Danio rerio: one gene and its partner. The protein of the gene in region 2 interacts with the protein of the main gene of each other region in a biochemical or structural test. Links are inferred from orthologs where the notes say so. Each region holds a gene or a part of one and is shown on either strand. Other genes may lie near its edges. The genes, in order: mpp1 and abcc4.

What was found.
Region 1: the proteins of abcc4 (region 2) and mpp1 form a complex in vitro, tested with the Homo sapiens proteins (2 studies listed by BioGRID and IntAct, with this or other methods). The link is inferred for Danio rerio from reciprocal best matches to the Homo sapiens genes ABCC4 and MPP1.

The regions. Positions count from the first base shown.
Region 1 is NC_133196.1:48,093,883-48,097,721, reverse strand, and holds part of mpp1 (55 kDa erythrocyte membrane protein), read left to right. Parts: intron 1-352; coding exon 353-431; intron 432-664; coding exon 665-750; intron 751-1,801; coding exon 1,802-1,870; intron 1,871-3,839. UniProt on the Homo sapiens protein: Essential regulator of neutrophil polarity. Regulates neutrophil polarization by regulating AKT1 phosphorylation through a mechanism that is independent of PIK3CG activity.
Region 2 is NC_133181.1:8,263,222-8,267,060, forward strand, and holds part of abcc4 (ATP-binding cassette sub-family C member 4), read left to right. Parts: intron 1-113; coding exon 114-224; intron 225-3,839. UniProt on the Homo sapiens protein: ATP-dependent transporter of the ATP-binding cassette (ABC) family that actively extrudes physiological compounds and xenobiotics from cells.

The DNA of each region.
Region 1 (3,839 bases), on a different chromosome or scaffold from region 2:
TTGGTTCAATGCACGTTATGCTCAAAACACATCCATAACTCATTAGGAGAATAAACACAACCCTGTTAGACCATGCATTGCGGCACAGACCGCAATTTTCAGTCCTTAAAATAGCAAAAGTGAATTCGGACATGCCCATTTTACGCAGCTTCTGCTTTCTGAGCTTTAGACTTTGCGCTTAGATCTTTAAAATAGAGCCAAATAAATCAAATTTTGCAAAAATTGTGTGATCAATGGGCAAAAACTGTAATATGACCTTTATAATACTGATAACCATGACAATTTTGTTTACCATAATTGTGATATGAAATGTTTATACGGCTACATCTCTAATTGTGCTGTATGCTTTCAGGGAGTAACTTTAAAGCTGAATGAGAAGCAGAGGTGTACAGTGGCCAGAATACTGCACGGAGGAATGATACACAGACAAGGTTCAGTGTGTGTGTGTGTGTGTGTGTGTGTGTGTGTGTGTGTGGTACATTGTATTACTTACACTGTGGGTACCAAATGTTCCCACAAGTATAGCAATACCAGTACAATTTGGCCTCATGGGGACATTTTTGTTGGTCCCCATGAGGTAAACGGCTCATAAATCAAACAGAATGAAGTATTTTAAAAATGTTGAAAACATTAGTAACACTGTTTTTCATTTCTTAAAAAACAGGTTCTTTACATGAAGGGGATGAGATTGCAGAAATCAACGGGAAAAGTGTTTCTAATCAAAGTGTAGACCAGCTGCAGAAGATTCTGGTGGGTATTGAAGTCCTTTGTTTGTAAAGAATAAATACATTTTAGCATGGTTAAAAAGAGCATGTATTAGAGAAATAAATTACTTTGAAATGATGCAATGCTATTGGATACTCAATTGCATTTATTTACAAATGATTGTAGTGCAGTCTAAAACTCTTATGTGTGGGTAAAAATTACACCCTAATACACTGCTTTATTTATTTATTTATTTATTTATTTATTTATTTATTTATTTATTTATTTGTTTATTTGTTTGTTTACTTATGTATTTATTTTATTATATATTTATTCATTTATTTATTTTTTATTAATGTATTTGTTTGTTTATTTATTTATTTATTTATTTATCTATTTATTTATTTATTTATGTATTTATATATAAATTACTTAATTTATTTGTTTGTTTACTTATTAATTAAATAATTTGTTTGTTTACTTATTTATATATTTATTTATATATGAATCACTTAATTAATTTGTTTGTTTGTTGACTTATTTATTTGTTTACTTATTAATTAAATAATTTGTTTGTTTACTTATTTGTTTGTTTGTTTGTTTACTTATTTTTTATTTGTTTGTTTATTTATTTACGTATTTATGTTTGTACTTTCATTTTAGTTGTCTTTTATTTCTTTAGTTTTAATTTCCAAAAGGAATCCTCATTGCACTTAGCAATCATAATAAAGCTTGTTAAGTGGATTTTATGATTTATGAAGGAATTATACTGCTTTGTTTTGTTATTTCATCTTCATTTTCAAGTAGCAGGGTATTTACAGCTACTGTTTATTTCTGTTAATACTTTCTGTGCACTCTAAGGTAAAAAAGGACAGTTCCTAGTTCTTATCATGGATGTCAATGGCTGCTTTTTCCCAACATTCTTCAAAATATCTTTTTTTGTGTTCAACAGACGAAATAAGCTTGTTTAGAACTGTGTGTAAATGAGGACATTTTCATTTTTTGGGTGAACTGTCCCTTTAAGTAACCTTCAAAAGTGTTTGTGTGTGCACATTTACTGTGATTTGACGTGTTTCTATACTGTTCCACATAACAGAAAGACACAAACGGCGTCGTCACGCTGAAAATCATCTCCAATCAGCAAAGTCGACCAATGGCGTGTGAGGTGAGTAAAACATCCGCGTCACATTTGACCAATACCCTGCTTCCATTTGTGTTTCATGATCACAATCGACTGCATCTGCAAATACTCCCTCTAATGGGGTTTGATCACTTCTTTCTTTATCTGCCTATTCTGTATGCTTGATTAAATAAAGGTGTGGGGTTTATCATGAGAAAGCAGTGAAATGCACAGGTGACTATTAAATCGACAGTAGCAGAGAATAACTGTAGATTTACTCACTCATTCAGATAATCTTCTGCCATCTGCTGGTCACACAGCGTCAAACACGAGTTAAAGGGATAGTTCACCCACAAATGAACATGCACTCAGTGTTTACTCATTCTCAAGTGGTTCCAAACCTTTAGGAGTTTCTTTTAAACACGAAAGAAGATATTTTGAAGAATGTAGAAAACCGGTAACCATTGACTTCTACTGTAGCTAATTCTATGGAAGTCAATGGTTACCGGTTTTCAGCTCGTTTCTTCCAAAGCCATGTCCAAAGTGTCTTCTTTTGTGTTCAGCAGAATAAAGAAACTCATAAAGGTTTGGATCAAGTAAAAGGGTGAGTAAACAATGACTGATTTTGTGTTATTTGGTGAACTGTCTCTTTAAATTAAGCAGACGGTGACCATGTGATGAGCTGTTGTAGTTTTCTTCTTTCATTATATAACAGAAACCATTCTGATATTGTAATGTTTGATCACGTAGATCCTTCTAGAACTCTGCTTATAGACTATAGTGACATAGTTGTAGTTATAGATCTGTCTGTCTGTTTGTCTGTGTGTAATTGTTTGTACCTTTGTCTGTTTTATATATGACATGTATTTAACATTATATTACATACAGCACACACTATTTATTTATTTTGTTTGTTTATGCTCAATGAAAAAATAATAATTTTTAAATGTTTTTTTTTTATTATTTACTTTAAATGTATTCATTTATTTTAAACTAAATAAAAAAATAATAATTAATTATCTTTAATTGTATTATTTTATTTTGTATTATTATTTATTTTTAATTAAACTTATTCATTTAGTTTACATTTTATTTATTTATTTTAAACTTAATAAAATAAAATAGTTAATTGTTTTTAATTGTATTATTTTATTTTGTAATATTATTTATTTTTAATTAAACTTATTCATTAATTTTACATTTTATTTATTTATTTTAAACTATATAAAATAAAACAATTGTTTTTAATTATATTATTTTATTTTGTAATATTATTTATTTTTAATTAAACTTATTCATTAATTTTACATTTTATTTATTTACTTATTTTAAACTAAATTAAATAAAATATTTAATTATTTTAATTGTATTATTTTATTTTGTATTATTATTTATTTTTAATTAAACATATTTATTTATTTTATATTTTATTTATTTATTTATTTATTTTAAACTAAATTTAATCATTAATTATTTTTAATTATTATATTTTATATTATTTATTTTTAATTAAACTTATTCATTAATTTTACATTTTATTTATTTACTTATTTTAAAATAATTAAATAAAATAATTAATTATTTTTAATTGTATTATCTATTTTGTATTATTATTTATTATTAATTAAACATATTTATTTATTTTGCATTTTATTTATTTATTTATTTTAAACTAAACAAAATAATTAATTATTTTTAATTATTATATTTTATATTATTTATTTTTAATTAAACATATTCATTTATCTAACAATTGTATTTATTTGTTTTAAATTAAATAATTGTTTATTTTTAATTGTATTATTTTACTTTGCATTGTTTGATTTTTAATTACTTTAAAAATAAATAAAACTAATTTAATTACTTAATTTTAATTACTTATTTTAAGCTAAATTAAATTTATTTATTGTATTATTATTTTTTATTAATTTTATCAATTTATTTTAAATGTTTTGTATTTATTCTTTTTAATTAAACATATTTATTTTTGATTACATTTATTATTGAAATATTT
Region 2 (3,839 bases):
TCACTATCACTTGAACATGTGGTTTAAATGCTTTAGGCCACTGTCATCACTCATCAATAATTCAGCATGCACATTTAAAGCTTTATGTTGATTCTCTTCCCCTTTATCATCAGCTGGCTGAATCCTCTTTTCAGTATCGGATCTAAGAGGAGACTTGAGGAGGATGACATGTTTAATGTGCTTCCGGAGGATCGGTCAAAGAAACTCGGGGAGGAGCTGCAGAGGTGAGTGAACCGCTGGGAATAAAGCGACGCAAGAACAGGTTGTTCTCAAATAAACCCTCAGAGAGTCCACCCGTGAAATGTGAGAACGCTGCAGTTCCCATTAGGTGTCGAGCTCGTGATGGTCTCCACTGGTTTGTGCAAGCTGTGCATTATGCAATGTTGAGCTCTTGTGAAAATCTCTTAAATCATTCACACATTTATTATGCATGCACGGTGAAAGGGTCACTAAGCTTCCATTGAGATTAGTAATGCGAACAAACTGTACATATTTACTAAAGTATTTATTATTCTTTGATAATGTTACTTGGTTTATATTAACTCAGTGAGTTAACCAAAGTTAATACGTTTTTCTGAAATACTTGATTCTGATTAGTCAATTACAACATTTATAAGGTATGTTCCTCCCAGAGAACAACTGAATTAATAATAATAATAATAATAAAAATAATAAATTTATTTGCATATATCGACATTAAAGCTTAATTTTCAAAATACTTTAAGCTTTTAAAATACAGAGATAAAACAAATAACACAAGCTCATACAGGTTTTTGGAGTCCTAACCATTAGAGAATTTTTCATATAACAAACTATGTACATATTTACTAGAGTATTTATTACTCCTTGTTAACATTAGTTAAAGATATTTCAGCCATTCATTGTTAGTCCTTATTAATGCACAGTGAGTTAACTAACGTTATTACATTTTTCTGAAATACTTAATTCTGATTGGTCCGTCATGATATTCCAAGGTATGTTATTCCCAGATAACAACCACTGAAGAAATAACAATAATAAATGTATTTGTATATACAGTAGCACCATTAAAGCTTAATTTTCAAAACACTTAAAAAAATACTATATAATTAATAAATATATAATTAATAACAAAGACTTATGCAAGTCTTTGGAATCTTCCTATTTGCGCTTAAATAGCCACGTGAACATTTAAGTTTGCTCGCTTCATTTGCGCGTCAAACCCCGCTTTAATCGATACGTTTAGGGCCGTGTCTGAGTCCACTAGATCCTTTCTGAGGTGCATCCGTCTCTGTGAGCTCCTAAACTCCTGCAGAAACTTAACCTGGATAATGGAGGATTTCAGCGGTGCTTCTGACTCAGCTGAGCCCAGTTTGATGAACTGTCGTCGGTGTCGACCATACCTGCCAACACTCCCATTTTACCCGGGAGTCTCCCGTTTTTCAGACCCATCTCTCGTATTGTTCTGTCTCCTGGAATTCCGGGATAAGCGCGTAAAACGTGCAAAATGTTTTCTGTTCAATACTTCATATAGAAAGATGAGACGCTTTTCAAACGGCTTCCTCATTTTTGTTTTGGTTTTGTTATTGAGATAGTCACACAGCCCATATTTACATATTTATCTAGATCTAAACCTCAGGAGAGAGGGTGGCATTGGGATGTTTCCTAAACCAGGAAAGGTATTGCAAATGTCTTTTTACCCAAATAATAATAATATTTTTTAAAAAGAAAGAAAAAGTATAATGTTCCCTTTAGAGATGCAGTGAAACAAATCTTCACAAACTACACAATTTCATGATGTTATTTCAATATTTAAAACGTTTTTTTGTATGCTGGTACTTTGTGGAACCAGGCCACAAGGGCACGTGATTTAAATGGTTATACTGTTATATATACGGAGCAGAGCTCTTGGCAGAGGCTACAGAGAGCAGGATGGAGGGTGTGTGAGGTTAACTTAATGCTCCCTCTGCTTTTCCTGCTCACTTTCATTTTGAACTACACTAAAAACGAGCCTACAGGCTACTCATTTTGAGAAGTAGTAAACTGAAGTAAAACTACTTTAAAGAATAGTTAAGTACAGTACATTTGTTTATGCATGTATTAATGATATATTAATGTAATTATAATAAACATCTATCTATCTGTCTATCTGTCTATCTATCTATCTATCTGTCTATCTATCTGTCTGTCTGTCCGTCCGTCCGTCCGTCCGTCCGTCTGTCTATCCGTCCGTCCGTCCGTCCGTCCGTCCGTCCGTCTGTCTATCTATCCGTCCATCTATCCATCTATCCGTCCATACATCCGTTCGTCTATCTATTCTTATGTCCATCCATCTATCTATCTGTCTATCTGTCTGTCTCTCCGTCCGTCCGTCCGTCTATCTATCTATCCATCCATCCATCCATTTACCATCTCAAATAAATCCACTTTGTGTGAGTAAACAGTGTATTTTTTTAAATAAAATTATTGAATCTTTTAAATTGCTTTGTAAAAAGTTAGAATACAGTTAAATTTATGCAGTTAATAACAGTAATTAAAACTAATATTAGTAATACAAATAATACAATATTTTAGGGCTAAACTATGGTAATTGAATAGCCTTTTAATGTGCCCTAAGATTATTTTTTTTAAATCTAAAAATCCCTGACAATTATTTTTTGATATGTAAAATTTTATACTTAATGGTATTGTATTTTATTACATGGAAGTAGGTCATCAGTCTTTGTAAACCTGCATTTAATTACAATTTTATTATATCTTTCTTTTTACTGTTGGTTTGCAAATGTTTTGCTTTTGGCTTCTGAGGAATGTAACATTTTGTGTTTTGCATAAAATTCAAATACTATTTCAGAATTGTTATTTAGCATTACTTTTAAATCAGCATTTATGAAAGCTTCGTAATAGCTTTTGCAGTTATTATAAAGTTATTACTATTTATTGCGTTTCGGGTACAGAGTGATCCCCTCAACTCATGAAATTGCATTTAAACATTTGTAGATAAATAATCTTATCTCTATCCAAGTTAATATGTGTTTAAGGTAAATATTTGTATCTGTTTGTTTATTCCCTACTAATCAAACACATGGCCTGTCTACTTTGCGGCCCCTTTTTACAGTCCAGTAAATTCCTTATCAGTACTTCAAGTTTAAAGCTTTGTCATAATTGATTTCCACTAATAGTTTTATTGAGAAATGATCTCTTCACAGAATAAAATACAGACATTGTACAATCCAAATTTCATAGTTGTCATTTGTTCTCTCAGTCACGATTTTACATATTGTAAACTAAATCACCAAGTATGATTAGCCATTCATATTGATGTTCTTTTTTTTCTTCACCTTGAGGTTTTATTACATAAGAACAGATAAGCAGATAAATTATTTGCAGCACAGTGGAGAAAACCCGCTGATAATCAGCCGTAAAAGTTTTTATCTCCAGCCATGAAAGCGTGGAAATTAATGACAGCGAACACAATCCTGTCATTCATTAAAAAGCACCTCCACACACACTGTTTCTCCAGCCTCTAATCATGCACTTTTAAATGAATCAGTGCTGGTTCATTTAGCTCAGAGCTCGGGGCCATGACACTCATTTCTGAAGCTTTTATTGCCAGCAGCAGCTCAATGGGGCCGAGACGTAAACACTGATGTTCTGCCTTCAAGTAAACTGTTGTTTGCAGATGTAGAATTTACTGCCGGAAGTCACTGTTGGGGAAACAGCAGCCAAATTGAAAGAGCGCTTGAATATTTTACCTGGTTTGGCTAAAAATGTGCTCCCACTTTATTTTAAGTGCCTTTAACTACTATAAACTTAATATACAAATTAATAATGGGTACAATTATGGCTGCAGAACGTGATTA